4 linked regions of the Oryctolagus cuniculus genome follow. The protein of the gene in region 1 binds, or shares a complex with, the protein of each later gene. Links are inferred from orthologs where the notes say so. Each region holds a gene or a part of one and is shown on either strand. Other genes may lie near its edges.

Region 1 (7,233 bases):
GGAAGCACGGAGCTTGGCCTGGCCACCCGGGGCGGCCAGCGAGGGTTCATGGCCCGGCATACCCGGCACACCCAGCTCAGCCAGGCGCCCGGGGGCTCTCCCCCCGCTTACCTGTCCTGAGCGCCCGCAGCAGGCACTTGTAGCTGGCTCGGTACCGGCCCAGCCGGCGTGCGAACGCGCAATAGCAGAGCCACCGCGCGGCTTCCGCAGGGAACAGGCCCGAGGCGCCCTTGGCCCCCAGCGACATCCCTGGGGGCAGAGCACGGCTGGTGACCCCCAGACCCCAAGCTCCTGCCTTCCCCCCAGGAGACCAAGCGCCCTCAGCAGCGGCCTGACTCGCCCGGGGTCCCTGCAGTGCAGGCACACGTGCGGGCGAGGCACACGTGTGGGCGAGGCAGATGCACTTGCTCCCGGGCATCCACACCCGCCAGCCCCGCAGGCACCCCGCAATCCCCGATGGCACCATGCCCGCCCACCTGCGACCCCACAGCGTACCGCCTACCCGCGACCCCACGGCAGCGCAGCCCTGGCCCCAGGCACCTGGGTTCTTGGCTCTCAGCATGGAGTAGCAGCAGGACGCGGTGTCCGAGATGACCCGCAGGAAGAAGGAGGGGTTCCTGCGAACGTGCTGGTTAAACGGAAGCCGTAGCACACACGCATGGAACCTGGGGGAGGGCGCAGGCGTCAGAGGACGCGGTCCCTACCAGGGCGTGCTGTGCGTGTGCAGACCGGTGCCTGCTTGTCCGCCTGTGTGCGCGCAGGGGCACACGTGTGCTCACGCGCGCACGACAGGGTCTCCCTGACCACCGCAGCCTGCTGTGGACAAGGCGAGGCTGTCCACTCGGCCAGTGCCCTTTCCCAGCCACACCACCGAGGGCCCCCCTGCCGCCTGAGGGGGGACACACTGGGCGGGGACGGGGCCTTGGCCCTGTGGTCGGCTAAGTCAGGGTGCTCCGTGGGAGCCCACGGGAGACCTCTGCCCGCAGGACCCCGTGCCAGGCCTGCTGGACTCAGCCTGTGGGCTCGAGTCAGCTGCACCCCAGGCACTGCTGGGACACAGGTGGACACGTGTGGAATGCACCCACCCGCGACGTCACAGTCCAGCTCCTCTCCCCACGCCTGCCTCCAGGGATCCAAGTGCCCAGGACATTGTGTGCCCGACCCTTCCCGACACAGCAGCCACCAGCCCTTCTGCCCCGTGGACGGGGAGGGAGCCACATGTGGCTGTGGCAGTCCTCGGGGCCTGAATGCGGGCTTAGGCCCTGTGGCTAGAACGGCTCCCGTGGCTGACTCGTGACCTGTGGGCGATCCCTGTGGACAATGACCCTGTGTGTGTGGCCCCGTCCCAGGTACACCGCGAGGACCTCTGCTTCCGGGGCCGGGCGGGTGGCAGGTGACGGCCACCACCTGCCGACTGCAGGCTGAGAGCCAGCGGCTTCTGCGTGTCCCTGGAGACAGGGTCGCTGGAGGTCAGTTCCCGCCCGAGCTGCAGGGGGCAGCGGCTTCCTGGAAACCTCAGGAGCCAAGTCCCCGGGGCACAGAGGCTGAGGCACGGGCACGGCCAGGCCAAGGGCACAGCGCCCGAGCCCGGAGGACACGGCCTGCAGGGGAGCTGCCCGTCCACCCCCCGTCCCCAGGATCAGCGAAGAACAGGGAATGTTCCAGAAGCACCATCAGCCATGGGCAGGAGCCCGTGTGTGGACGCCAGGCTGGCAACGTGCTTGGAGCCACTGCCACCCTCCGCTCTGTACCCGACCGCGCCCTGTGTCTCCTGCCCAGCCGGCTGCTAACTCAGCCGCCTCTGAGCCCGACTGCCTGCCCCAGGACGTGGGCCACTGTCCCCACCCGCAGGTGGGCGTGGAGTTGCCCGAGGCGGAAGCCAGGGACTCACCTGTAGGCCTGCAGCAGGAGGATCTTGTACAGGTTCACGTAGACCGTGTGGAGGCTGTTCACCTGCGTGGCCGGGGCAGCGGGGCGTCATGGGCACACGCTGGGAGCCCCTGGGCAAGGAGCCACCGTCCCCGGGGAGTCAGCCAAGCCCTGGCCAGGCGGGGGGTGGGGTGCCCAGCAGGGAGCCTCACCCTGAGCGTGCTGAGGCCAGGGAGGGCGGTGACCAGCCCCACGCATGCACACCCACAAGCCCACGTGCCCTTCACACAGGTGCCCCTGCCCCTCACACGGACGCACACACCGTCAGGCACGTGTGCCTGGTGCGCGCTAGCCACACCCGATCGCTCAGGTCTCGGCCGCTGCCCGCTCACCTGCAGGTCCAGAAACAACCCATGACACTTCAGCCGCAGGACCGCCAAGAGCTTGCGGCGCAGGCCCCTCCCGGCCTGGACGCCGGGGTTGAAGGTGAGGCTGGCCCTGACGGACGTCCCTGCAAAGCTGACACAAGGGCACGCTGCACACCCAGCCCTGCCCGAGTGTGGCCCCGAGAACCCGTCCCCATCCTGGCCCTGGGTGTGGCTGATGGGGACGCCTGCCCGCCCTGCCCCGGGGTGGCTCCGAGAATCCATCCTTGTCCCCATCCTGGCCCTGGGTGTGGCTGACGGGGACGCCTGCCCGCCCTGCCCCGGGGTGGCTCCGAGAATCCATCCTGTCCGCATCCTGGCCCGGTGTCGCTGACGGAGATGCCTGCCCACCTGGCTCCAAGAATCCGTCCCCGCAGAGCCTGGGACGTGGCCTGCAGGGTGACGTCCACCCAGGACTTGGGCTTGCTCATCAGCGACAGACGAACGAGCCCTGGGGAGACCCGGGCAGGCCTCACCAGGAAGGAGGCGCCCGGCAAACCACACAGCCGGGAGCCTGGACGCCAACGGTGGCCCCACGCCCGACACTCGGTGGGCGACGTCTCGTCCCTGGACACAGCACAGAGCACCTCGGCCCGCGCCTCAGTGGCCCTGGCTGAAGGCAGCGCCCAGGGGCAGGAAGCAGAGGCCTCCCCACCCCGAGCCACACGGCAGCGGCGGAAATGAACTTCAGTGTCATCAACGTTCCAGAACAGGTGTCTCCCTGTGGCCGCGTGGCCGCTAAGCCCCTTGTGCGGGCTGCGCCGTCACACCGCCAGCATGCCGGTCGGCCAGGGCTCCTTGGAAGCACCGGGGTCTCCAGTGCGGGCCTCCCGGGCCTGGCCAGCTCCGAGCGCCCAACGCCGTGGTCTGCAGCTTGCTCCAAGCCTGGGCAGAACCCCCGGGAGCCGCCACTGAGCACCTGCTGCCCGGTGCACCCCGAGAACCGAGTGGGAGGAGCGTGGGCACCCAGCACCCGCGTGCGGGGAGAGGCCTCTGCCTCGCGGCCGCTGATGCTCAGCTGCTCCCCTGGGGTTGTGTCCCGCCTGCACCCACCCTGAACTCCCGTGCCAGCGTTTCTCCGCACGTCTGTGAGGCGAGCGGGTGTCGGTCACGTCTCCCGCCGCAGCCACAGGAACCCCCTCGTGCCCCTCACCCGCTCCTCGCGGGGTTAACGCATTCGCTGGGCAGAGGCGGCCTCCTCCGCGGTGCGCCACTGCGTCACCGGGGCTGCGGCTGGGGTGGCCCCAAATCTGGCCGGGCCTGCCTTCACCCCACAGTTATTCGGTCTCCTTCCGGCCGCGGCTTGAAGCCCTCGGCCACGTGTGCCGGACACCCAGATGCAGAGCTCCGGAGCGGCTCTGGAGCCACTCCTGACGCGGCCACGACAGCCCCAGGGCGCCGGGGCCCCAGCTGTCCCAGCACCGGTACACACCTGCTTCCCCCACGCCCGCCGACAGGCTCCCTGGCTTTGCTAGTGTGTCCCGAGGGGCACGTCTCCCGACGGCGTCACCCACAGCTCGGCAGCGCTGGAGGCAGGGAGTGGGGGCGCCTGTCCTCCAGGGAGCCGAGTCCGTGGGCGAGGGCGTGGTGGCGGGGGCGGGCCCACACGGCTGCCGGTGCAGCGGACGGCAAGAAGCCCTGGACCATCCGATCTGAGTCCCAAGGACGAGGACAAACCACCCAGAGCCAGGGCAGGCTGGGCAGCCGGGCACCCCAGGTGGACAGGACACGGGGTTGCGGGGGACAGACAGGGCCTGCCCCACCCCCACGCAGCAGGTGCCCCGCGAGCACTCTGGGAATGGGGCTCTGTCCAGACCCGGACAGTTAACTGCAGAGTAACAGGCACTGCCCACACACGGAGAAGGAAACACTGACTCCCCCTCACGTCACTCGTGGCTGTGCCGAGCCTGAGGCCAGGCTGTGAGCTCTTGGCGTGGGCACACCAAGACGGCTACCAGACCACACGTGTCCTGCCAGAGATCCGGGGGCCCAGGCTGCTCCTGCACTCCACAGCCTGCACCAAAGCGCCGGGAAAATGTGCCTGGCAAGCCTCCCACGCCACGGTGGCCACGCTGCGGCCAGCTCTCGGCTGAGGCTCCATGGCGCCCCCCCCCCCCCAGGCCCGCGGCCCTCACCTGGAGTAGTCACAGGACACCTCCAGGGTGCGTGTGTCGAACAGCAGCCCGCACCAGGGGAACAGGCAGTGGGCGGGCAGCTGGAGCGGGGCGGGGCCGTCCGGGGCCACGTCCCCCACAGGGAAGTTCACGACCGTCTTCTCCAGGTTGATGTGGCAGCCGTACTCGGGGACGCCGCTGACCAGGGCCCTGAAGCAGCAGGAGTCCGTCTGCAGACACGAGCTGGACACGGCCGGCAGCTGTGCAGGGACGGGCTTGGGCCGGCCAGCAGGGCCCGAGGCTGCTGTACCCAGCTCCCATGCTCCCTGGGGGCCCGTGGCCACCGCCCTGGCGCGCACCTGCATTCCCCGCCCTGACATTCAGACCCTCCCAGGAGGCCCCGGAGCAAAGGGACCCCCGGGGCAGCCCCTCGAGCGGGCCCAGCTCCCGGCTGGCAGGAGCGGTCTGGCTGGGGGGGTGGGTGGTCCCAGGCCTCGGAAGCCCCGGCACTGTCCCTCTGGGGTCCTTAGCTCTGGGACACGGGAACCACAGCGGTAGTGGCTCCACACAGAGCAGCCTCAGAACACGCACACGGCTGGTCCTGGCCTCACCTCCACGCGATGGGCACGGGCGTCTGTGTGGAGGGCGTGTGGAGGGTGTGGTGTTGTCAGTGCCTGTGGTGTGCACATCTGTGGCACGTGTCTGTGTGGGGTGTCTGTGTGGGGTGTGTCTGTGTGGGGTGTGTCTGTGTGGGGCGTGTCTGTGGCGTGTCTGTGTGGGGCGTGTCTGTGTGGGGCGTGTCTGTGGGGTGTGTCTGTGTGGGGTGTGTCTGTGTGGGGTGTGTCTGTATGGGGCGTGTCTGTATGGGGCGTGTCTGTATGGGGTGTGTCTGTGTGGGGTGTGTCTGTGTGGGGCGTGTCTGTGTGGGGCGTGTCTGTGTGGGGTGTGTCTGTGTGGGGTGTGTCTGTGTGGGGCGTGTTTATGGGGTGTGTCTGTGTGGGGCGTGTCTGTGTGGGGCGTGTCTGTGTGGGGTGTGTCTGTGTGGGGCGTGTCTGTGGCATGTCTGTGTGGGGTGTGTCTGTGTGGGGTGTGTCTGTGTGGCGTGTCTGTGTGGGGCGTGTCTGTGTGGGGTGTGTCTGTGGGGTGTGTCTGTGTGGGGTGTGTCTGTGGGGGTGTGTCTGTGGGGCGTGTCTGTGTGGGGCGTGTCTGTGTGGGGCGTGTCTGTGGGGTGTGTCTGTGTGGGGCGTGTCTGTGTGGGGTGTGTCTGTGTGGGGCGTGTCTGTGGCATGTCTGTGTGGGGTGTGTCTGTGGGGGTGTGTCTGTGGGGTGTGTCTGTATGGGGCGTGTCTGTGTGGGGTGTGTCTGTGTGGGGTGTGTCTGTGTGGGGCGTGTCTGTGGCATGTCTGTGTGGGGTGTGTCTGTGGGGGTGTGTCTGTGGGGTGTGTCTGTATGGGGTGTGTCTGTATGGGGCGTGTCTGTGTGGGGTGTGTCTGTATGGGGCGTGTCTGTGTGGGGCGTGTCTGTGTGGGGTGTGTCTGTGTGGGGCGTGTGTGTGGGGCGTGTCTGTGTGGGGCGTGTCTGTGTGGGGCGTGTCTGTGGGGGTGTGTCTGTGTGGGGTGTGTCTGTGGGGGCGTGTGTGTGGGGCGTGTCTGTGTGGGGCGTGTCTGTGGGGGTGTGTCTGTGGGGTGTGTCTGTGTGGGGCGTGTCTGTGGGGCGTGTCTGTGTGGGGCGTGTCTGTGTGGGGTGTGTCTGTGGGGTGTGTCTGTGTGGGGCGTGTCTGTGTGGGGCGTGTCTGTGTGGGGTGTGTCTGTGGGGTGTGTCTGTGTGGGGCGTGTCTGTGGGGCGTGTCTGTGGGGTGTGTCTGTGTGGGGCGTGTCTGTGTGGGGTGTGTCTGTGGCGTATCTGTGGCAGGCTCCTGTGTCGTGGGAACCTGTGTCCTGGTGCCCACAGCTCGGCAGCCCCCACAGCACCCCGGCTGGCAGGTGCGAGCCCTCACCTGAGGAAGGCTTTTGCCTGGGCCAGGTGCGGTGTAACCAGGAGGAAGTCGTCGACCAGACGCAGGAGCACCCTGGGGGACGGGCTCACTTTAGTTCCCTCGCAGCACCCGCGCAGGGGCCAGGAGGGCGTGCACAGCGGGACCTTGCGCCTGCGTCCTGCCCCCGCCGGGCCTCCGTATTGGCTGCACAGGCTGGTGGGATTTGGCACTGACAGCAGAACCTCACAACCAGGCCTGGCTCGGAGCCCTGCTCCAGGAGATGCGACCGAGAGCCAGACCGGGGACGGGGACAGCCAGGCAGGGCACCCTCCTGATCTCGCCCCGCCCGTGGAGCAGCTACACGCACGCACACGCACACACACCCCTGTCGGTGCACACACGGGACCGGCTGGGCTGCCGCGTGGCACGCTCACCCGTCCTGCTGGACGCCGGGGAACAGCCTGTTCTCCATGTCTCCGTAGCACAGGCTGCAGAACAGCGTGGACAGCATGGAGCCCTGCGGGACGCCCCGGCACTGCACGTAGGACCTGAGGGGCACAGGACAGAGAGGGACGCCTGCCGCGTCTGCCGCCTGGACAGCATGGAGCCCTGCGGGACGCCCCGGCACTGCACGTAGGACCTGAGGGGCGCAGGACAGAGAGGGGTGCCTGCCGCGTCTGCCGCCTGGACAGCATGGAGCCCTGCGGGACGCCCCGGCACTGCACGTAGGACCTGAAGGGCGCAGGACAGAGAGGGGCGCCTGCCGCGTCTGCCGGCTGGACAGCATGGAGCCCTGCGGGATGCCCCGGCACTGCACGTAGGACCTGAAGGGCGCAGGACAGAGAGGGGT
Region 2 (7,233 bases), on another chromosome or scaffold:
GTATCTCAAATGAAGGATGAGGTTATTGACTTTTCCCATTGTGCTGCACGCTAGTAGAATATAATTTCAGATATGTCATGGCAATTTTAAATTGCTATCAAAGTTTGTAAACAATTAGTTTTTAGTTTCTGCACTTGTAAGACAAATCTGTCTAATTGTGGGCTACACGTGGACTAGGACTGTTGTAGTGCTCAAGAGCGTGGTCCTTGAAGCTGCATCAATTTAAGCCAAACTGTATGTGACTTTGGACCACTCATGTAACTTTTCCTTTTTATTTTGTATTTATTTTTGAGTGAAAGAGAGAGAATATGAATCAGCCCTCCCCAAATGCCTTCAATAGCTTGGGCTGGGCCAAGCCAGTGCCAGGAGCCAGGAGTACAGTCTGGGTCTTTCCCAAGAGTCTGCAGGGACCTGAGTATTTGAGCCATCATCTTGCCTTCCCAGAGTGTGCATTAGCAGGAAGCTGGCTTGGAAGAGAGGAGCTCGGAGTCAAACCAAGCGCTCTGATGGTATGTGAGTGTCACAAGTGGCATATTAATTATGTGGCCAAATGCCCACCCCCAGTCATTTAACTTTTCAGGCTATTTTCTGTTCTTAGGAAAATGTACGCAATATGTTTAGCCACAATTCATGGCATTTAGCATGTCTTTTAGAAATTATTGGCTAATTAGTGGGCATTTGGTGTCCTGGTTAAGATGCCGCTTGGGACACTTGAATCTCATATCAAAAGTGCCTGATTTTGAGACCAGGCTCCACTTCTGATTCCAGCTTCCTGGTAATCTGCAGCCTTGGAGGCAGCTCAAACAGTGAATCCCTGCCAACCATGTAGGAGACCCAGATCTAGTCTCAGCTCCTGGCTTCAGTCTGGCCCAGCCTGGCTATTGTGAGATTTGGAGAGTGAACCAGCAGATATAAATAAGATCTCTTTCTGTTTGTCCTTCTGTCTTCCTCGCTCTTTATAAAAGTACATTTAAAATTTTTTCAAGAAAGTCTTGGCTATAATTTGAGCTTTTGAATAGGGTAGTTGAGTAATGAGTTGAATTGCAGTGTTTTTAGGCTTTTAGGCTAGGGTAAAAAGTTAGACATCCCTCAATCCTGTAGTTTTCATAAAGCTTTGTATGTGGGATGGTAAAGAATGATATTTGCTTGTATGCTTTAATATACTTGGGTGTCTGCTTAGCCAGATATTTCTGTCATTTAGCCAGCATATGCTTTTCTATTGTAGACCCTAGGGATCTGCTACTAAACAGGGTAGCCAAGCTCCTTGCTCTCATGAAACTTAAAATCCAGGGGTGGAAGATAGGTAAAAGAGGGTTTGTTTTTTATGAAACTAAACTGGTGATGAAAGTTGGGCTTGATCATCATTTTGGCTACTTTTGTCCCTCAGAAAATCAAAACTGTTGCATGTTTTATTCATAATCTTGCAGTGAAGCCAGTCTTCTTCATAGAGAATAATGAGTTCAACTTACCAATATTCTAGTTAGTGTGATTCTTACTAATTTGGGTGGTGTATAAGGAGCAGAACAGTTTCACAGCAGATACTGGAAATACAGTAGCAAAAATGCAAATTCAGGAATGTGAAATGTTAGCATATCATGGTTGATGATGGTGCTGGCTGTTACATGTGTAAATGGTTTATCATTAACACTATTTTGTATTGTATTGCTGCTTTCTAGAATTTTGACAAACTAAATGTCAGGACAACACATTATACACCTCTTCCTTGTGGCTCAAATCCTCTGAAGAGGGAGATTGGGGACTATATTAGGTAAGTGTGTTGGGAGCAAGCACTGTTGATAGAAACCTACAGTGGCTTTGTCTTGAATGTATAACCTGTTCGCGTGGTGAATTTTTTTAACTCTTCAGGTTTGTTGTTTTATTGCAGCATGAGAGCAAATGGTACATTAATTTTCTGTCCATTCTAGGACAGGTTTCATTAATCTTGACAAGCCCTCCAACCCCTCTTCCCATGAGGTGGTAGCCTGGATCCGACGAATCCTTCGGGTGGAGAAGACAGGACATAGCGGTACTCTGGATCCCAAGGTGACTGGCTGTTTAATCGTGTGCATAGAACGAGCCACTCGCTTGGTGAAATCACAGCAGAGTGCAGGTATGTGAAGACAGAAGGCAGGTTTACCTCCACATTTTGCCTCTTGGAAATTTTCTTCATTAAGGGGAAAAAACCTACCCTGAAGCATGGATATGCTTTTTGTTTCTGTGTACCTTCTGTCCTCTGCCAGATCTTGGTGGGTCTACATTTGGAGTTCATAGAGGCATGTGTTGATAAATTCCGTTCATGCCACTGAGGCAGAATTCTTTCCGAGTCCAACTCTTGTCTTGTTCCAGGTTCCTTTCACGTTATGTTTCTGTGAAATCTGCACCAAGACACTGAATAATGTTGAGCTCCCAATGTCGTCGTTCCATTCCTTTCCTTTCTTTTCAAAATGTCTGCTTTTCCTGCTGTGCAAGATGGCAGCTATGGAGCATATAACAAATACAGAAAACTGAGTGGCCACACCTGACTACTCTTTTGTCATTTTTCAGGCAAAGAGTATGTGGGAATTGTTCGGCTGCACAATGCTATTGAAGGGGGTACCCAGCTTTCTAGGGTAAGTCTCTCACTTTAGGGAAGGGAAGTTGGGTCTCAGCCCTTGAAGCCTTTGGAAACAGCCACCTTTCGTGGCTGACCATGCTCCTGCCCTTTTCAATGGGCTACCCCATCCAGCCACATCCCTTCTGAGGAGCTGCTTCCCATCAGCCCTGAGCCGTCCCAGGGGTTGAAGAACGAAGCAGAAATGGAAAGAAATGGCTTTTTAGTTATTTTGAAGAAAACCTTTTATGTTTTGTATCCTTAAGCTCCCCAAATATGCCCTCTCATCTTATTTAAGAGGCCATGTAGGGAGAGTGCTTGTTTCTATTTGTGCTTATTCTCAGGCCCTAGAAACTCTGACGGGTGCCCTCTTCCAGCGACCCCCACTTATTGCTGCAGTGAAGAGGCAGCTCCGAGTGAGGACCATCTATGAGAGCAAAATGATCGAATATGATCCGGAAAGAAGATTAGGTGGGTTGTTGGGTCTTTGAGGAACTGAGTTATCACAGGCCGCATTGGGTAGGAACTCATTCTGGAAGGTTCTACGGTAATCTTTGAAAATACTATGTGGTGAGGTCATATCATCTCTAGGCTTGATGACTTAGAAGCAGACTAACTCTGGAAAATACTCTGTATTGTGTTTATGTCTTAGGCATATTTTGGGTGAGTTGCGAGGCTGGCACCTACATTCGGACACTGTGTGTGCACCTTGGTTTGTTATTGGGAGTTGGCGGTCAGATGCAAGAACTTCGAAGAGTTCGTTCTGGAGTCATGAGTGAAAAGGTGTGTCTTCATGGAGCTAGAAGTTTTAGAGCTGGTTCTGGGTATCTTGCAGCCCCTGGTGGAACTCTGCCTACTTCACACCCTGGGAAAGGCCACTTCCAAAGTGTTGAGTTCAGTTCAGGGCATCTTCCCTGTTCTGTTAATTAAACTTTGGTACACTAAAAGGGGTTTGGAGATAGAACTGGATAGAAAGTATCACTATTCGTTTATCTCCCAGCCTACAGCAGTGCTTTCATAAAGTGAATCTATAAACAGTTACAGGTGTCCAGAAGGGAGGTGAGTATGAAGACGCTCAGGGTTCTTCATGAGCTTGCACTAGTGGAAGAGATGCATGGTATATGAGTGTCACAAGTGGTATCTTAATTATGTGGCCAAATGCCCGCTGCTGTTTGTGGACCTGTGAACTGTTGGAGATCTGAAGACACTGAGTTTTTTCCTATGTACCTGCTTTTCAGGACCACATGGTGACAATGCACGATGTGCTTGATGCTCAGTGGCTGTATGACAACCATAAGGACGAAAGCTACCTGCGCCGAGTTGTTTACCCTTTGGAAAAGCTGCTGACATCTCATAAACGGCTGGTTATGAAAGACAGTGCAGTAAGTTCTGCGATGGGAATGCGCATTTGAACAGAAACTGACTCCAAAGATAGGATATGGTCTTTTCTTCTTGGAAACTCTATGTGCCTAAGAAACCTTGACTGACTTAAATTGTTCTAAGACAAAGTTAGTTTAATGGGGAAAAGTTGAGATTAGAGAGATTCAGAGCTGTAACAAAGTTATTTATCCTGTAGAAGTTTGAATAAAATATTTTGTTAGTGTAAATAAAACATAGTTTGAGGCTGTGAAAGCGAAACTTCACTGAGGTTATCAACCTCTTTTTTTTTTTTTTTTTTTAAAGATTATTTTCACTCAGGTGGCTGTAATAGCCAGAGCTGAGGCAGATTAAGGCCAGCAGCCAGGACCTTCCTGCAAGTCTCCCATGAGTGCAGGGCCCCAAGCACTGAGGCCATCCTTCACTGCTTTGCCAGGTGCATTAGCAGGGATCTAAATGGGAAGTGGAGCAGCTGGGACTTGAAGCAGCGCCCATAAGAGATGTAGATGTTGTAGGCAGTGACTTTACCCACTATACTACAGTGCCAGCCCTACAAGTCCTTTTCTTAACATATTCACTAACTTGCCTTTTACTTGAGAGTATTCCTATTAGCAATGCAAGTAAATATTTTTCAGTTGGGGTTTCTTTTGTAGTGGTCATTTTAAGAATAAGTTTCTTACTTTCCAAGTAGTCCAGAATTTGTTAAGTATGATCAAAGAATGTAGTTTATAAATTTTGTTAAAGACTAGGCAGGCATGAAAATTCTCTAAGGAGAGAGTAGAATATGGGTAGCAAGAGATCTAGATGAGTGAAGATGGTATAGCATAAGGCAGATAGATTCCAAAGTGCTGTTGAACTGAAGAGGTGGGCTTCTACCCATTGGCCTATAAGTTTCATGTCTAAACCTTTGTGTGATAGAGAGGAGCAATTAAGGAAAGCTAAGACTGATGTGTGTGTGTGTGTGTTTATAAAAAAAAATAAACTTGTATGTCCCAATTGCATAATTAATTGGAGATCAGTGAGGAAGTAGTTACTCTTTCACAGCTAAAGGATCAGGGAAATGGGAGAAGTAGCTGTTAAATCTGTCTAATATTTTTGAGTCATGCATGAAAAGTGCTGAATTCTTCTGTGCCCTGTGGATGCGGTGTGGGATCAGGCTGCAAGGCAGCGGTGGAGTCCTCACATGTGACACCGTCTCTGCAGGTGAATGCCATCTGCTATGGGGCCAAGATCATGCTTCCAGGTGTTCTCCGATATGAGGATGGCATTGAAGTCAATCAGGAGATTGTGGTCATCACCACCAAAGGGGAAGCCATCTGCATGGGTAAGAAGGGATATACTGCCTTCATCAGTTCTGGTACCATTGCTGCTAGACTCACTGAGAATAGGTCCCCACATCCTGGTTCCTTAAAGTTGTTCTAATCATGGTGTTTTGGGGGTGAGGGGAGGGATTGGTCAGCCAGGTACTTGACTCTAGTGAGAATACAGAGAATCATTTGTGACAAGTGAGAAAAGATTGTTTATGGTAAGGCAAAAAGCCTTTTAGTCTACTGCTTGTCTGCTTCCACTTAACTTGTGGTTTGTATCAATGTTTACCTTGTGAAAGTTTAGTTACTATTATATTGTCCCTTAAGTCTTTAAATGCTTTGTGGCCCTCTTAATAAATCCTAAAATTTATTTGTGGCCCTTAAATAAATCCTATAACAGGTATAATTTGCATCAGAAATACAGCATGTGTCCAGAGCCACAAACCTGCCTGTGTATCTCTTTGGTTGGGTGTTAAGTGTTTCTTGTTAAGTTTTATGCCATCTCAAAGGCTTCCTTCCCATAATGGATGGAGGGTTTTCTCTGTATGCTCAGGATGAGCATAAGATTGTAGAGTTCACAGCCTTAAGGATTTTTAAGATTTATTTGTTTGTTTATTTATTTGAAAGCTAGACTTACAGAGAAAGAGAGATCTTTCACCCAACAGCTAAGGCAGGACCAGGAGCCAGGAGCGTCTTCAAGTCTCCCACACAGATGCAGAGGCCCAAACACTTGGGCCATCTTCCACTGCTTTTCCAGGCATGTTGCAGGGAGCTGGATTGGAAGTGGAGCAGTCAGCACTCGAACTGGTGCCCATATAGGATGCTGGCATCTCAAGCAGTTGCTTAACCTGCTGTGCTGCAATGCTGGTCCCTTAAATGGGGTTTAAAGTGGTATAAAATAGTAGGATTGGAGCTCATCCATTCTTTTCACTTCAAATCATTCTTTTCTCTCTCTCCAATTCATGTAGCTATTGCACTAATGACCACCGCAGTGATCTCTACATGTGACCATGGTATAGTAGCAAAGATCAAGAGAGTGATCATGGAGAGAGACACTTACCCTCGGAAGTGGGGTTTAGGCCCAAAGGTAAGGGGGACTGGGTGAAGTGCCCTGTTAGCTGGTTTTGCCTTGGGATTTGCATTGTTGATGAGCATAAATAGGCCCTGTATCAGACCTTAGGGAATGGTGCATTTTAGCCATGCTAGCAGCTGTTGAGTACAGAGGTGCCTGGTACCTCGAAACGCCACAATGACCCTGGTGTTGACCCTGGTGTGGAGGTCTGGGCAAGTCCTGTGTTTGTTCCTGTTGGAGGGAGTAGCTGAGTTGCAAATGCTCTGCAGAAGAGCGTGAGGTTTTGCTGAGGACACACAAGGGAGGAACCAGGTGCTGTTCTGTCCAAAGTGTGTTTAAGCCACCTGTGTGCAGTCACACTGCCTTCATAGATGCCATTCTAATGTTGAAACCCTGACATCCCACCAGGCAAGTCAGAAGAGGCTGATGATCAAGCAAGGCCTTCTGGACAAGCATGGCAAACCCACAGATAGCACCCCTCCCTCCTGGAAGCAGGAGTATGTCGACTACAGGTGAGGACAGGATGTTTCAGAGGCAAGGATGGGCGGGGACAGCACATCCCTGACCACAGGTAAGGGTGGAAGGTTTCAGAGCCTGTGGCAGGAGTTGTGTGTAGGAACCAGTGTCGCAGCTACATTTTCCTTACTGGGCTCCATGAGGCTTGGCTGCCGTGGCTCATGGAACTGAAGAGGGAGCCAGTCTGCAATAGTAAGTGGTGAAGTTTCTTTTCTCTCCAGCCTTGGTATTCTGATGGTGGCTTTAGGCTTGCAGCTTATCACTGAGGGTAACAGGATACAGTATCCCTGCTGTGAAAACCTAATGTGACTTGCTGCTACCTCTCCTTGCAGCGATTCTGGCAAGAAAGAGGTGGTTGCTGAAGCAGTGCA
Region 3 (7,939 bases), on another chromosome or scaffold:
TATGTTCTCAAATCTTGGGGTACATCAGAGACACTCTCATGTTGGACACAGCTGGGTACACTTATGGTACTGTATGAGCAATCTGAGGACTGCTGTATCCTCAGCTGTGAGCCAGAGGGGTGTGTGCTGCTTTCTGCCTGTCCACTGTGTCCCACGGTCCAACTCACTGCGTCCCCTGCTCTTTGCAGTTTTGCCTCTGGCTGTGTGGCACTGCCAGTGCTGATGAACATCAAGGCTGTGATTGAGCAGAGACAGTGCACCGGGGTCTGGAGTCACAAGGATGAGTTGCCGGTGAGGCCTGGCGGGGGCGGTGAGGGCAGCCAGGACAGGGAGTGGGACTCACCTCTCTGCTGGCCTCCCTAGATCGAGATTGAATTGGGCATGAAGTGCTGGTACCACTCGGTATTTGCCTGCCCCATCCTCCGCCAGCAGACTTCGGATTCCAACCCGCCCATCAAGCTCATCTGTGGCCACGTCATCTCCCGAGATGCCCTCAACAAGCTCATTAATGGAGGAAAGTAAGTCCCCTGTGCCGCCCCCTGCTTGGCCTGGCTGTCCTGCTGGCCAGCCTTAAGATGTTTCTGGTTCTACCCCCTCTGCAGGCTGAAGTGTCCCTACTGTCCCATGGAGCAAAACCCAGCAGACGGGAAACGCATCATATTCTGACTCCTGCCTGGAAGAACTTTGCTGGAAGCAGCTTTTCACCCGGGAGCCTTGGGCTCTGGGTTGGGCGAGCTGGCTTTCAGTGGGCTGTGGTTCACGTCACCTGGTTGAGGAGCACTAGCAGGGTAGCTGAAGGAGGAACCCACCCACATGGAGCAAGGAAAGGAAGATGCTGGGCTCTACTCCTGCTGTTCGGATGCCTTTGACTTAGCAGCTGCTGACAGAGAAGCAAAGGACGGGGCGCTGCTGCAGACATCTTTCCACCCCTGCCCTCTGCCGTGACAAGCCAAGCCTGTGCCACTCCAGCTCCTCAGCCTAGGGGTGTCCAGCTGTGGCCAACTTCCTGCTGTCCAGCCTCAACTGTATGTATCCATTTCCCACTGTACATACTCAAGTTAGAACTTAATGTAATTGTTTTATAACTTTGACCAAATATACTCACAGCCCTCCTTCCTTCTGCCAGCCTTTAGCTTTGCCAACAAGGAATTGCTGGGTCTACTACAAACAGCTAGTGGGCGTGGTGTGGGGCGCAGCCAGAGCCCAGGCATCTTCACTGAAGGGGACTTGGATGCTCTCAGCCCCTCGGCAAGGGGCCTTTACAGACACATGTGTACCAAGTCCAGTGGAGCCTTTGACATAGAGAAGGAACTTAAGTCTAAAGTGCTAGAAGGGATTGGTTCATCAGAGCCAACATGTTCAGCAGGAGGATGGCCTCTCGCTTCTTTCTATTTTTTAGTGTGTGGGTGGGTAAATTGCTTCCATAGCTTCAGAGTGGCACTAAGAAGAGGAATGGGGGTGCCCGACAGAGGCCGCAGGCTCCTGTGAGGCGGGTTCTGGGCTCTGCTACCTCAGTACACAGCCCCCATTTCCCAGGAAGTCAGTGGTGAAAGCCCTGGGTGCTGGGCGGCTCAGCGTTAGCGCTGCAGACTCTGGTGAGAAGTCCGCTTCCTCTTTTTCTTGCCCGCCAACTGCCTGGCCCCACCAGCAGCTGCTGCTTAAAACAACACCCACAGACTCACCACATTGTAGCCTTAGCATTTACTTGCTCAGCCCACACTCTTGGAACTGTCTTCATTTAAGCTCAACAGGAAACAGCTCTGATGGAGAAGGCGCCGGCTCTACTTTCATGATAAACAGCTGGTGGAGCTGCCTGGGAAGACTATGTTCCTCGGGGAACCAGGGCAGACACTGTGAACATGGGCAGAGGAGGGTAGGCTGGGCAGCTACCAGCCAGGCAGGTACCCAGGTTGCTGCCTAAGTCCTTCAGTGGGGTGAGGGCAGGGCCTGCACCTCCTCCAGGCACTCATCGTAGGCCTCCTGGTATTCCTCGTGAGGCTTAACCATAATCACACAGGTGGGGCGCTTGGAGCCCGCAGCTGCACCCAGATCCTAGAGGAGGAAAGAAAGGCTGTCTGGGGGAGAGGCCACAGAAGCTATGTGCAGGGAGTCACACGTGATGACTCAGCAGCTTGATCTGGCCCACAGTCTGTTCCACTGGGTCTGTCTATGTCACACTTAAAAGTTATTTTGAATTGGTTGCCATCATTTAAACTCCAGTAAGTATTCAAGCTGTGGTCCAGCCACACTGGGCCTACATCCCCACAAGGCCACCATGAAAGGGCTGCAGCCCAGCAGGGGCTGTTCCTGGGAGCATCCCCCTGAAACAGCCCCTCTGAGCAGGAACCCACATAACAGGACTCACACAGGTCCATGTACATCCGCATTCTTTCTCACAGTCCACAGGAGGGGCTCCTCATTTTATAAGACAGAAACTGAGTCGCCGTCTGCAGTGCCACAGCTTGGCAGCAGTGGTACCAAGAATCCGCAGTCCTGCTTCCCACTGTGTCCTGCTTGGCTCACCCCCAGCACCTCTCCCGAAGGGCTGTGCTTCTTACCGTCTTCGAGGGGATGTAGACGTAGGGCAGATTCCGGTCCTCACACATAACTGGGAGGTGGCAGTATACTTCAATGGGCAGTGTGTCTCCTGCCAGAACCATGATCCTGAAATGAGAGAATCTGCTGTGGTTTCCAGCTGTCCCTACCCCGTCAAGTTACAGGCCAAATTCTGGGCTGGGCTCTGGGGGTGCACAGAGTAAGATGTCCATCCCCCCACCTCCCCTGCTCAAGGGGTTACTATGTGAGTCTGCCAGCCTCTGGAAGGGTGCAAACTTGTATTTGGCAAATAGTATTTGTCCAGGGAGGTGATCTCCACTTCTTAACAAAATGTAAATGCCACCAAGTGTGATAAGGGGTACAGTACTGAGACAAATGAGGTTTGAGGGGCACCAAAGAATAAGCTCAGCTTTTCTCAGAGTCAGTAAAAGCTTGGGTGGACATTTGGCACAGTGTTAAGATGCTGTCTGGGGAAGCTGGTGCTATGGCGTAGTGGGCTAAGCCTCCGCCTGCAGTGCTGGCATCTCATATGGGCACCAGTTTGAGTCCCACCTGCTCCACTTCTGATCCAGCTCCCTGCTGATGGCCTGGAAAAGCAGTAGAATATGGCCCAAGTGCTTGGGCCACTGCACCCACAGTTGGAGACCTGGAAGAAGCTCTCGGCTCCTGACTTCAGATCGGCACAGCTCCAGCCTTTGCAGACATTTGGGGAGTGAACCAGCAGATGGAAGATCTCTCTCTGTCTCTCCCTCTCTCTGTAACTCTCAAATAAGTGACACACCCAAGGGCCTTGCTAAGAAACAAGCTGTGTCCCAAAAAGAACACCAGAGTCCTCAGCTAGGGTCCCCAGCTAGCAAGCTCACGGGGCTCTGGGCAAGGGCAGCTGGGAGTGCTGCTTCTCCTCTCCTGGGGCCTGTCAGCAGCCTTTAAGCTGGTGTCCCTCAGCCTGGGCCTTGGCTGCCCTCTCCCTACATCCTTCCAGATGCACCCGCAGCCACGATGACACGTGCCGCCAGTGTGCTACAGCTCCCAGACCCGTTCTCCCCAACCTGTCCCCCTCTCTTCCAAGCCCCAAACCCATATAGCCATCTGCCCGACTGACAGTTCAGGAGGTCACACTTCTTCAAAGTAATCTCCCCACACAGACGTCTCAGAAAACAAGCCCTGCACCCTGGGCAGGGCATGCCAGAATCTAGAAACCATTTATACTTCTTGGTCCTTCTGAAAGTCCACTTGGATCCATCTACTTTCATATATATGTATATATGTGTATATATACATGATTGATTTCTTTGAAAGGCAGAGAGGGAGAGACAGAGATCTTGTATCTGCTGGTTCACTCCCCAGATGGCCACAATGGGGCTGGAGCCAGGCTGAAGTCAGGAGCCAGGAACTCCATCTGGGTCTCCCACATGGGTGGCAGCGGCCCAAGCTCTTGGGCCATCCTCTGCTGCTTTCCCAGGCACACTGGCAGGGAGCTAGAGCAGAAGAGAAGTAGCCAGGACTCAAACTGGCACTCCTATATGGGTTGTCCACACCGCAAGCCGTGGCTTAACCTGTTCCGAACAACGCCAGTCCCATCATCCACTTTAACTGCAATTTCACCATGACCTGTCCTAGATTATAGCCACCTCCTGCCTGCACTTCCTCAGATTGACTCTTGCCTCTCTGATCCTTTCAATTGCAAGAAAAATCTTTTACAGTTGTTTGAGACAGCTCTCATCTGGTTTACTCCCCCAGATGCCTGTAAGGCTTGGGGCAGAATGCAATCCAGGCTCCCAACCACCAGGGCTGCAGCCCACCCCCTAGCACCTCTCCCGAAGGGCCTGGCAGGAAGCTGGGGCTGGGGATCCCACCCAGGTGGGCCACGGGACGTGGATGTCAACTCTAGGCTAACACTAGGCTACACGCCTGCTCCCACATGTTAAGGTGCAACCATAACCGTGTCACTTCCTGTCTTTACCCTTCAGTGGGCTCCCAAGCTCTGAGCACAAACACTAAGCTATGGCTTACAAGGTAGCTCCCAACGTTTATCTCCAGCACCTACACAGAGCCAGGCACCTCTGGAGGTAAAGCTGTGCGGGCCGTGTTCTCGTGGCGCTGACTCCGGCGGGACTGGGAGACTTACCGCCCGTCCCCGCCCCAAGCAGCGGGGCAGTGGGGTCACTCTCCTCCACAGCTGCGGTTACCCGCGAGTGTGGTGACCCATAGAGAACACAGTGCCTGGAGAAGCGGATTCTCCTGACAGGCGTCCGGATGACCGAGGCCGGGGTCCGCCCGCCCCGAGCGCGTCTGCACCGACGGGAGCCCGACCCAGCCAGCCTCTCACGGGGCGCCCCAGGCAGCACGGCTCCCTGCAAAGTCCGGCGCAAGCGGGATTCTTACCCTTTCTCGCCCTTGTTGACAAACTTCTGAACCTCCTTCACCCCGCGCCGGATCTGCTTCTGCTTCACGGCTGCAACACCAGAAGTCAGCGGCAGCGGTGCACCCGCCCCTCCATGCCCACGCCCGCCCGGCCCCGGCCCCACCTTTCTTGATGCACTTGTAGAGCTTCCGCGTGAGGCGGCGCGAAGCCAGGGGCTGCGCGATGGGGTTCAGGTTGACCAGCAGCTCGTGATAGGTGCGCTCCCCGCCGCACGCCTCTCCCTGGGCCTCGGGCCCGTCGGGGTCAGACTTTATTTTGGTCATGGCGGCAGCAGCCGCAGCGGAGTCCCCGGGAAGCTTGTCCGCGTGGTCGGCCGCTTCCGGAACCGTTGCCGAGTCACCCCGCCCCACAGGAAGCCGCCGTACAGCGCGTCCAATTAGGACACGATGTCTCCGACCCTCGAGCCAATCGCTGACGCTCAGCGTATTACAGCCGCGCCTGAGCGGCCGGGGGCGGGGCCCCGGGAGCGAGCGGCGGGCTGAGCGCGGCAGGGGCGGCTTGCCTCCGGGTCCTGGGCCGAGAGGCGGGGCCCGGAGAGAGGGGGCGGGGCCCGGAGAGAGGGGGCGGGCCGGCCGCTGCGGCTGCTGTGGGGGCTGGGCGCCGCTGACACCCAGGCCTGGGGAACGGCGGGAGGTGGTGCCTGTGCGGGCGTGTTGGTGTCTGGGGGCGGGGTCCTGGCCTACTGGCCGGTGCGGTGCTCAGCGTGATAGAAAAGCTGGGCCTGGCTGGGCCTGGGCGGCGTGCCCAGCTGCTGCTGGAGGCGGAGGTCCAGCCCCGCGCGCTGAAGCGGCCTTGCCCTTGCCTCGCCTCCCGAGCTTTGCTTTCTCTTCCCCGGACCCCGCCTTAACAGTTCGCGAGGGGCCCCTTTCCTCCAGGCTTGCCCCCGCCCGGGGCCTGCCCGCTGCACCTGCTGACTTCATCTAAAGCTGCAGCCCCTCCCACTCCCGCCGTAGTCCCCCAACCCTCTGTCGTCCCAGTTAACCCCGCTAGGGTCGCCGTAGGGAGCCCGGCCAGGCTAGGCGTGGCTTGGGCAGAGATGGCCAGGTGGGGTGGGCCGGCGCGCCGGGTCGCTAACCGGATCGGACGGGCGGCCTGGGGCCTAACAGTCCCAGATTCCGGGGCCTCTCGGCGTCTCCGACTGGGCTCCTCCGCCGTTTGGGACGGCTGCGTGGTTATTAATTTGATAATTTCTGCGAATCAATGCCTCTCGTTATGCGGTGGCAGGCCTGCCTTTTGTGGTAGAACCAGCGAATATTGGCCGTGGCTCACTTGGCTAATCCTCCGCCTGCGGCGCCGGCACCCTGGGTTCTAGTCTTGGTTGGGGCGCCAGATTCTGTCTCGGTTGCTCCTCTTCCAGTCCAGCTCTCTGCTGTGACCGGGGAAGGCAGTGGAGGATGGCCCAGGTCCTTGGGTCCTGCACCCGCATGGGAGACCAGGAGGAGGCACCTGGCTCCTGGCTTCAGATCGTCTCTGGCCATAGGGGTCATTTGGGGGGTGACCTTTCTCTCTCTCACTAACTCTGCCTGTCCAAAAAAAAAGATTTCTTTATTGATTTGAAAGGCAGAGTTTGAAAGGCAGAGTTACAGAGAGAGGGGGAAAGAGGGAATTTCTTCCATCCACTGGTTCACTTCCCGAATGGCCTAAAAGAGCTTGGAACTCCATCCAGGTCTCCATCTGGGTGGCAGCGGCCCAGGTACTTGGGCCACCATCTGCTGTCTCCCCAGGGAGCATTAGCAGAGAGCTGGATGGGAAATGGAGCAGCCAGGACTCAAACCAGTGTCCATATGGGTTGATTGCATTGCCGGCGGCAGCTTAACCCATTGTGCCACAGTGCTGGTCCCCAAGTTGATTTTTTATTTTTAAGAAAATGTGTATTTTCATTTACTTGGAAGGCAGAGTGACAGAGAAAGAGAGAGATCTTCAGTCTGCTGCTTCACTCCTCAGATGACTGCAACAGCCAGGGCCGAGCCCGGAATTCTGTTGGGTCTCCCACGTGGGCCATCACCCGCTGCATTCCCGTGTGCATGGCAGGAAGCTGGATGGGCAGTGCAGAGGAGCAGTGGCGCAAACCTCCTCCCCAGGGATCTAATTCTTTTTTAAGAATGGAGGTTTTTTTTAAAGACTTATTTATTTATTTATTTGAAAGAGAGAGAGGAGAGAGAGAGAGGGAGAGAGAGAGAGGTCTTCCATCCACTGGTTCACTCCCCAGATAGCCACAATGGCTGAGCTGTGCCAACCTGAAGCCAGGAGCTTCTTCTGGATTTCCCATGCAGGTGCAGGGGCCCAAGGACTTGGGCCATCTTCTACTGCTTTCCCAGGCCATAGCAGAGAGCTGGATGGGAAGTGGAGCAGCCAGGACTTGAACAGGCACCCATTTGGGATGCAGGCGCTTCAGGCCAGGGCTTTAACCCACTGCTCCACAGTGCTGGCCCCTAAATAAATCTTAAAATAAAAATAAAGATAAATAACAACAGAAACTGTGGTCTCACAGTTAGAAGGCCAGAGGTCTGCGCCGGGGCCTTGGCAGGGCTGTGCTCTCTCTGAAGGCACCAGGTCCTTCTTGGCCTCCCGTGTTGCTGGCAGGTGATCCTGGTTCACGGGGTCTCTCCAGTGACTGTTCCTGTGGGATTTTTTCCTCTTATAAGGAGACCGGATGTACTGGATTAGGGTCCACCCTCATGACCTTGTGTTAACTGGATTACATCTGCCTGGGCCAATTTCCAGATAACACCGCATTCACCACCATCAGGGGCTAGACACTGGGGCCCAGGAGTGATGGGGCTGGGGGCTGGGCCTAGGGGGGCCGTGTCGCCAGGCAGTTCTGACCTGAGACTTCAGGACCTTGGGCTTCCTAGCCAGTGACCCAGGGCTCAGATTTCTGGAATTCAAGGGAAGGACTGGACTTTTCAAAGCAGAAGGGACACTCGGGACCCCTGAATGTAGACCTTGTGGAGATGG
Region 4 (8,013 bases), on another chromosome or scaffold:
ACACGTGCAGTTTGCCTGGTTACCTCCTCACCGCCAGCCCTCCCCGCTGCCCTCATCACACGTGCAGTTTACCTGGTTACCTCCTCACCGCCAGCCCTCCCCGCTGCACTCATCACACGTGCAGTTTGCCTGGTTACCTCCTCACCGCCAGCCCTCCCCGCTGCACTCATCACACGTGCAGTTTACCTGGTTACCTCCTCACCGCCAGCCCTCCCCGCTGCCCTCATCACACGTGCAGTTTGCCTGGTTACCTCCTCACCGCCAGCCCTCCCCGCCGCCCTCATCACACGTGCAGTTTGCCTGGTTACCTCCTCACCGCCAGCCCTCCCCGCTGCCCTCATCACACGTGCAGTTTACCTGGTTACCTCCTCACTGCCAGCCCTCCCCGCTGCCCTCATCACACGTGCAGTTTACCTGGTTACCTCCTCACCGCCTGTCACCCACGCTGGAATAGAAGCTTCATAAGGACGAGGATTCGTGCCAGGCTTGCATCTGACTAATCCCCAAGGCCCGGGGGCAAAGCCTGGTACCCAGAACATGCTCCACAAAAATGCGCTGAATGAATGAATCAGCAGAAGAATGAATGGGGGGCCGGTGCTGTGGTGTAGCGGGTAAAGCTGCCAGCTGCAGTGCCCACATCCCATATGGATGCAGGTTCGAGTCCCGGCTGCTCCACTTCCGATCCAGCTCTCTGCTATGGCCTGGGAAAGCAGTAGAGGATGGCCCAAGTCCTTGGGCCCCTGCACCCGTGTGGGAGACCTGGAAGAGGCTCCTGGCTTCAGATCGGCACAGCTCTGGCCATTGCGGCCAACTAGGGAGTGAACCAGCAGATGGAAGACTCTCTGTCTCTCCTTCTCTCTCTGTGTAACTCTTTCAAATAAATAAATGAATCTTTAAAAAAGAAAAAAGGATGGATGGATCTGCCCAACGCTGGCCTCTCTGTGCCTTGATCTCCTTGGCCCCCACAGCCGCCGCCTTGGGTCCACATCAGCCTCCTCTTCCCACTCATCCCGGCGGCAGTGCACCGCCATTGCAGCCTCGGAGGATCACCTCTGGCCCACGCAGCTCGCTCGCTCTGCTATTCCGGGAACATTCACAATCTCTCTCTAGTCCGCCAAGACACCCTGCTCCAGTACAGATGCTGGCGTCACAAGTCACAGCTTAACCCACTGCATCACAACACTGGCCCCCTGTTAAATTCTCTCAGTTCTATTAATCATCCTTGTTTTACAAACTGAAAAACTCCAGTCATTTAACTCACTGGAAAAGATGTACAACTATAGTAGTCTCACTTTTCAAAATTTTTATGTATTATTTTCTTTGAAAGGCAGAAAAATAGAGAGAGAGAGATCATCTGTCTGCTGGTTCACTCCCCAAATACTCCCAATAGCTGGGGCCAGGCCAAAGCCAGAGCATAGACCTCCACCTGCAAGGACCAAGTGCTTGAGGCACCACCTGCTGCCTCCCAAGACACACATCAGCAGGAAGCTAAACCAGAAGTGGAGTCGCCAGAGCTCAAACAAGGCACACCCGATGGATGCAGGAGCCCCACGCTGTGGCTTCTCACTGCGGTGACAAATGCCTGTCACTAGTGTTGCTTTAAATGATGGCAACTCTTGGGGCTGGTGCTGTGGCATAGCGGGTTAAAGCCCTGGCCTGAGGTGCCGGAATCCCATATGGGCATTGGTTCGAGTCCCAGCTGCTCCTCTTCCTATCCAGCTCTCTGCTACGGCCTGGGAAAGCAGTAGAAGATGGCCCAGTCCTTGGGCCCCTGCACCCACATGGGAGATGTGGAAGAAGCTCTGGCTCCTGGCTTCAGATTGATGTAGCTCCGGCCGTTGCAGCCATCTGGAGAGTGAACCAGCAGATGTAAGACCTCTCTCTCTGTCTCTACCTCTCTAACTCTTTCGAATAAATAAAATGAATCTTAAAAAAAAAAAAAAAAATGACAGCAACTCTGAGAGGCGCTGAGCAGAGAACATTCCTCCGTGGCTCTCCTTTTCTGCCGAGGCAGACACAAACCTTCCAACCTCTCGCTGCCGTGAGGCCGGACTCTGCCTCTCAAGGCCAAGTTCTCCAGCGTGATCCAGACCCTGCCTTCCTCGGGCCACCACTGGGGAGCTCTGCTCTCCCCGTGCTCTCTCCTGCAGCACCAAGGCCTCCCTGTCTGCTTGGTTGTTCCTGACATCACAGATGTACCCTAAAAGCCCACATTCCCTCTGGTCACCAATCCATTTCTAGGATCCCTTTCAAAGCACCACCACGAAGAGTTGTCCACGCTCTTTATCCCCCCCGCCCTGCTCGGCTCTGCCTCCACCGCATCTCCAGGGCGGTCCTGACGTGCTCTCGGGCCTTCTCCAGACCCAGCTCCGGTCTCTCGGCAGCGCCAGTCGTGCGTCTCGGCCTCCGCCTTTGTCACTTCTCCTGCACCCCCTCCACACACTGCAGCACTCAGGGCTCCGCTGGGGCCTTCTCCTCCTGGGTCCACACTCCCAGGACTGAACCCACTTGTCCAGCCATGAGATGCCATGGACACACCCTCCCATTTCTCGAGTTACAGCCCCAGCCCCCTTCTCCCCGTAGCCCCACATTTCAGTTAGTGTACTTAGAAACCCCCGATTTGTCCCATTGCCTGCTCCTGTCCCAGTTTCCTCCTTGGCGTACACTGGGCCCCCCCTCCAAACTTGCTGCAAACCCTGGACGCCACCTTCGACTGCTTCCTTCCCTGCACCTCCATGCCCAACGGATCTCCCAGTCCTACAAAAGACACCCCAAACCCACCCACGCCCCTCCTGACATCACCCACCTCTCACCTGGGAGCCAATTTCACTCTGGCCCACCCTCAGTCTCTCCACTCTTCCATTCCAAAGCTCTTCCGTGGCTTCCCAAGTCATCTCCAAAGGCCGCATCAGGAGATCCCACAGGCCGCAGCTGGGGGCACCCCTTGCCCTCACCTACCTCCCCCTCACTGGCTGCAGCCCAGCCCCACGGGCATTCTTTCTGTTCTCCAAACACGGAATTTCTTCCCGGCTCTGGCCTCCCTGATCTCCCTGCCTCTTCCTGGAAGGCTCTCTCCAAGGCTGGCCCAAGGCTCATCATGTCCTTTCCTGCCCACTTCCTCTGAAACACTAGCTCATCTCGCCTTCTATTTCCTTCACAGCCAATTCGAGAACAAATTTTGTGTGGAAAAAAAATTATTTCATTGGCCTGCCAGCGACTTGTTCATGTTTTAATATTCCACAAGGATGTTATATATATTCTTTTAGTACATAATAACTGTACAGGCACTCATTGTCATTTGTACTGATCTTATCGGTTAACCTGTGTGTTATCCATTTCCCACACAAGAAAGCAAACAGCTCTTGTCTATATCAATCGCCACGTTACCCCAGCACCAAAAACAATGCCTACTGTATTGGCAGTCATTCAGTAAACATTTGGATACATACATACTGCTCCGAGAAATCTACTACCTTTTTTTTTTTTCGGACAAACACATCCTATACCTGGCCAGCGCCACAGCTCAACAGGCTAATCTTCCACCTTGCGGCGCTGGCACACTGGGTTCTAGTCCTGGCCGGGGCGCCGGATTCTGTCCCGGTTGCCCCTCTTCCAGGTCAGCTCTCTGCTGTGGCCCGGGAGTGCAGTGGAGGATGGCCCAGGTGCTTGGGCCCTGCACCCCATGGGAGACCAGGAGAAGCACCTGGCTCCTGGCTTTGGATCAGCGCGGTGCGCCGGCCGCAGCACACTGGCCGCGACGGCCATTGGAAAGTGAACCAACGGCAAAGGAAGACCTTTCTCTGTCTCTCTGTCTCTCTCCCTGTCCACTCTGCCTGTCAAAAAAAAAAAAAAAAAAAAAAAAAAAAACACAACACATCCTATACCTAAGAAGGGACAAACACCCTTTTGAATAACTTCACTATTCAAAACAGAAAATGCTACATATAGGGGCGGCATTGTGACACAGTGGGTTAAGCTGCCACCTGTGACACCAGCATCCCATATGAATGCCAGTCCCGCTGCTCCACTTCCTATCCAAACTCACTGCCAATGCGTCTGGGAAGGCAGCGGAAGATGGCCCCAGTGCTTAGGCCCCTGCCACCCATGTGGGAGACCAGGCAGAGTTCCTGGCTCCCAGCATTGGCCAGCCATGGCTGTTGGCGGCCACCTGGGGAGTGAAACAGTGGATGGAAGATCTCTCTCCCACTCTCCCCCTCTCTCTATAACTCTGCCTTTCAAACAGATATGTAGATCTGTAAATTCACAGGGAAGACAAGTGTGTGAACAGGAAAGCCGTGGTCTACACTTTCTCCAGCTACATGAAGGTGCCTGCCAAGCCCCTCCCCTTACCATTTCGGCATATTCCACCTGTTCCTCCCCAGTGTACAGCTCCGGGGGCAGGTTGTAAATCCGCAGGATGTTATCAGCACTGTTGGTCAAGATGCAGGAACCGTCAGGAGCCCTAAAAATAGGAAAGGGTTAGAATCCTGGCCAGAGCCAAGCGGCCCAAGCCGAGCGCTAGGGCTAAGCTGACCTCTGGGGGTGCAAGACACAAAGGCCTAGGTCCTAAAAAGGGCGCCTCACCCCTCTCCCACGCTGCTTTAAGGTGCAAACCTCTGGCCCCGCTACCCTTACTCACCACTTACAGCCTTTCAGAAAGTTCTCGGGTTGGGCGCAGAACTCCGACCAGGAGCCGCTGAGAAATCGGGGCAGCTGGGAGAAGCTGTAGTTCCAAAGGCTGGAAGGAAGACGGAGGAACAACAAACCTGGGGCGCTGAGCCACGGGCAGACGGGCCTGGGGGCCGGCGGTCAAGGTCCTGCTCACACCTGCACTCGCCTCGGAGGCCACGGCCAGCCGCCGCCACCACTTACGTGTCTCCCTCCTCCGACAGGCCTTCCGCGGCCGCCCCGTCCGCGGCTTCTGCAGCGAGGCTCGCCTCTTCGCCAAGTTCTTGCTCCTGCACCGGCGGACCCAGCTCGGTATCGAACTCGGCTTGCAGAGCGGACAGAGAATCTGGGTCTCCTGCGCCCAGCTCCTGGGGGAACCCTGAGCCAGGCACCGCACCCGGGGACGCCCGGGGCCGATCGCTGCCTTCGGGCGCCGGCGGCATCGGTTCGGGATCCGGAGTTTTATCCACCGAGGAAGCCCGCGGAGACTGACCGGCTGCAGCGGGGGCCTGGTCCCCCGGAGCTGAGGGCTGAGCCTCCGACGCCTTCATACTGCAGAAGCAGTGCGGCAGGCATTGGCCTCGGCCGGGCGGCCAGGACGGCTCCGAAGCTCCCGGGAACCGCGACGCAGACCTGGAGGAGCCCACCCGCGCCTTCCTGCCTCCTCCGGGAGCGGGAGGCGAGAACAGCACTGAGAGCCGGCGTCTCTCAGCACCGTGGTAGCTACACGCCACTGGCTCTCGCGGGACTTGGGCCCACCTTCGTCCCGATTGGACCTCCGCACCCCGGAGCGGATTTCGCGGGCGAACCACGTCGGGGCGAGGCGGGGGCCTTACAGGTTTAAGACTTACAATTCCCATAAAGCCCTACGGCTCCTCGTGGCTGCTGGGAGTTGTAGTCTGAACGCGTCCGCCTTGGCGAGAAGTACCAGAGCGCCCCCTACCGTCTCCCACGACAATTCTCAAAGCGCCTACCCGCCTCAGCCTGCAGAGGGCGCCTGACCTTGCAGCTTTTACACCTCTTCTGCATCCCATTCGCCAATTCCTCAGCCCTCTGTCTCTCTCCATTCATTCAGTAAATATGTATTATCAAGCTCTTGCCACCCTGCACTGCACGAGCCACTGGGGAACACAACGATGACAATAGACAGGTTCTCTGTCCTCAGAAGGTTGCATTGCTGTGTGGGAAAGGGTGACTAGATCTGCAGATAGTGAGAACGGTTGTGAGGGAAACTAAACAAGATGGTGTGATATGAAGTACTTGGGGGACGCGTTAGACTGGGACGTTAAGGAAAGCCCTTCTAGAAGGTTACGGTTGAGCTGATGAGAAGAAACTAGCTATCAGGGCAGTGTTGCGGACAAGAGGGAAGCGGCGAAGACAAGAGCTTTCTTCCTTCCACCCTTTATATTCAAAATGGTTTCCGCCAATTCTGCCCTCACAGCCCTGGCCTGCAGAACTTCGCCGCGACAAAATGTTAGCCGCTACAGCACCGAGGCTGCAAGAACCCTGACTCTCTCCACACACACACCCTCCATTTCCTTCGCCTCACGCCGGCAGGCGAATGACTTGCCCTTACTTGTCATGGCGACCGTCCAGGAGCCTCGCGGGGGCTGATGGGATTGGGGTTTTCCCCTCCCATGTGCTCGGACTGGCGCTAAAAGTTTTGAGCGCCTCAAAAGTCCGGGGCCACCGTCCGGGAAGCAGGTAGCCGCTGGGCTGCGGGGGCACCTGGCGTCCGTGGCCGGAGCGTGCCGCCCGGGGCCGTGACACGCTCTCCTGAGGACTGGGTAAGGCCTTGACTGGGACTGATGCGTCCCCTCTAAGGGATTTGGCTCTGGGCACCTTGCATTTTCATCTAGGGGCGCAGCTGGGGGTGGGGCAGTGGGGGTGGACGGGGGCTCGGTGGGAGCGAGAGGCCGGCTGGCGGGAGGAACAGAGGAGTGCCGCGTCGGGAGGCCTGGGTGCGAACGCTGGGCAGGGGAGTGGGGCTTTCGGGGGGACCTGAGCCAGCCCCAGGTTTACTTCGCCCCCGAAATAACATGCACTAAGCCTTGGGGGCTGAGGTTTCCACATCGCGAGACTCGGACCTCTAGGCCCGAGATGGTAAGGTCCAGGGCAGCGGAGGGAAACCTCGGGCTCCGTTCCGAAGAGAGCGCTCGGGTCTCGGGACTTCCGGACCTTTGTCTCCCCGAAGTGGTCATCGCAGCCGGCCGCCGGCTCCGCCGGATGGAGAAACTCCGATCAAAGCCGGGCGGCCGTGGGACGCGCCGAGCAGAGGGTTTGCTCAAGGCAGCCGGGGAGACCGTCCCGGCCTGAGAGGCTCGGCAGCCCTGTTATTGTTTGGCTCCACATTTACATTTCTGCCACTTGCAGGAGCATTTCCGGTTTCTTTTTTGCGGAGCGGCTCACGGTTCCCCCTATGCGGGGGGTGGGGGGAGAGAGAAACTAGTGTCTTTCAGGCTGATTTCTGTTCCTTGCGGGAGAGGTGTCTATCATTTCCCACCTTTTCTGCCCTCTGGATGACTTGGCTCCTGCTTTTGCTAAGAAGGGAGGATTTGTTTTGATGCACACCTCCGTCCCTCCCCCCGCCTCTGAATGGTGCGCTCCACCCTGCCCCCCTCGCAGCCTAGGTGGACGCTACCATTCTGTGGGACGGGGGGGGAGGCGAACACGTTACAGATGGCAAAACCAAGTATTTTCGGAAATGGGTCCGCTGGGGAATCGAATTCTGGAAGTGTGCAATGACAGGCCATTCGTCTGTGTAGGGGAAACAGCTTCTCTAGTATCCGGTTTTGGGCTAAGCCATACCAATTCCAAACGCAGTCCGGACGTCGTAAAAGCGGAAGGGGCGGGCCGGCGGGGTCCTGCCCGCGGGCGGCGGCGGGGCCGGCGGGGTCCGTGTGCCCTGCTGCTGCACCGCGCGGGGCGTGGCGGTGCCCCGGTGTGTCCCAGGCCCTGGGCACCGTGGCCCGATGTGCCTGTCGCTTTTCTAAACTGTCCTTCGCGGAAGCTTAAGTGCTTCTCTTCCCCTCGGCGCCTGGCGTAATTTCAGCCTGTGAGATGAACGGGAGATAGGCAAGGCAAGGTGGAAATGGCCTTGCGGGAGGCGGCGGATGGCGTCTCCCCGGGAACCGGCCCTGGTGGGCTCCGCGGGGCGGGCTGTCAGACCCCCGCCATCGTTTGAATGTGAAAAGATCTTTTCAGGGCACAAAAGACGGAATATCCACTTGATTTGCCTTTGCAGTGCACTAATGTGGGTAAATATAAACTTTTGTGCGCGGAAAGACAGCTTTTTGAAGCTATTCTCAAAGCGGCGGTTTCTCTAACCACCTAGATACAGACCAA

Evidence for each region.
Region 2: TERT (region 1) and DKC1 share a complex: the UniProt entries of both Homo sapiens proteins name them as parts of the telomerase holoenzyme complex. The link is inferred for Oryctolagus cuniculus from reciprocal best matches to the Homo sapiens genes TERT and DKC1.
Region 3: TERT (region 1) and NHP2 share a complex: the UniProt entries of both Homo sapiens proteins name them as parts of the telomerase holoenzyme complex. The link is inferred for Oryctolagus cuniculus from reciprocal best matches to the Homo sapiens genes TERT and NHP2.
Region 4: TERT (region 1) and WRAP53 share a complex: the UniProt entries of both Homo sapiens proteins name them as parts of the telomerase holoenzyme complex. The link is inferred for Oryctolagus cuniculus from reciprocal best matches to the Homo sapiens genes TERT and WRAP53.

Annotation. Positions count from the first base shown.
Region 1 is NC_091445.1:97,019,359-97,026,591, reverse strand, and holds part of TERT (telomerase reverse transcriptase), read right to left. Parts: intron 6,932-7,233; coding exon 6,818-6,931; intron 6,477-6,817; coding exon 6,405-6,476; intron 4,619-6,404; coding exon 4,430-4,618; intron 2,389-4,429; coding exon 2,262-2,388; intron 2,001-2,261; exon of another isoform or gene 1,954-2,000; coding exon 1,892-1,953; intron 666-1,891; coding exon 541-665; intron 250-540; coding exon 112-249; intron 1-111. UniProt on the Homo sapiens protein: Telomerase is a ribonucleoprotein enzyme essential for the replication of chromosome termini in most eukaryotes. Active in progenitor and cancer cells. Inactive, or very low activity, in normal somatic cells.
Region 2 is NC_091453.1:133,383,284-133,390,516, forward strand, and holds part of DKC1 (H/ACA ribonucleoprotein complex subunit DKC1), read left to right. Parts: intron 1-1,676; coding exon 1,677-1,768; intron 1,769-1,925; coding exon 1,926-2,110; intron 2,111-2,544; coding exon 2,545-2,609; intron 2,610-2,934; coding exon 2,935-3,061; intron 3,062-3,242; coding exon 3,243-3,373; intron 3,374-3,469; exon of another isoform or gene 3,470-3,599; intron 3,600-3,828; coding exon 3,829-3,972; intron 3,973-5,170; coding exon 5,171-5,291; intron 5,292-6,242; coding exon 6,243-6,361; intron 6,362-6,754; coding exon 6,755-6,858; intron 6,859-7,194; coding exon 7,195-7,233.
Region 3 is NC_091437.1:63,753,548-63,761,486, forward strand, and holds NHP2 (H/ACA ribonucleoprotein complex subunit 2), read right to left. Parts: upstream 5,331-7,939; 5' UTR 5,245-5,330; coding exon 5,085-5,244; intron 5,012-5,084; coding exon 4,942-5,011; intron 2,680-4,941; coding exon 2,559-2,679; intron 2,053-2,558; coding exon 1,927-2,052; 3' UTR 1,687-1,926; downstream 1-1,686. Other genes in the region: E3 ubiquitin-protein transferase RMND5B, read left to right, coding at 189-291, 364-518, 603-666. UniProt on the Homo sapiens protein: Required for ribosome biogenesis and telomere maintenance. Part of the H/ACA small nucleolar ribonucleoprotein (H/ACA snoRNP) complex, which catalyzes pseudouridylation of rRNA.
Region 4 is NC_091448.1:52,226,204-52,234,216, reverse strand, and holds the start of WRAP53 (telomerase Cajal body protein 1), read right to left. Parts: upstream 6,088-8,013; 5' UTR 5,529-6,087; coding exon 4,873-5,528; intron 4,739-4,872; coding exon 4,640-4,738; intron 4,463-4,639; coding exon 4,351-4,462; intron 1-4,350. UniProt on the Homo sapiens protein: RNA chaperone that plays a key role in telomere maintenance and RNA localization to Cajal bodies. Specifically recognizes and binds the Cajal body box (CAB box) present in both small Cajal body RNAs (scaRNAs) and telomerase RNA template component (TERC).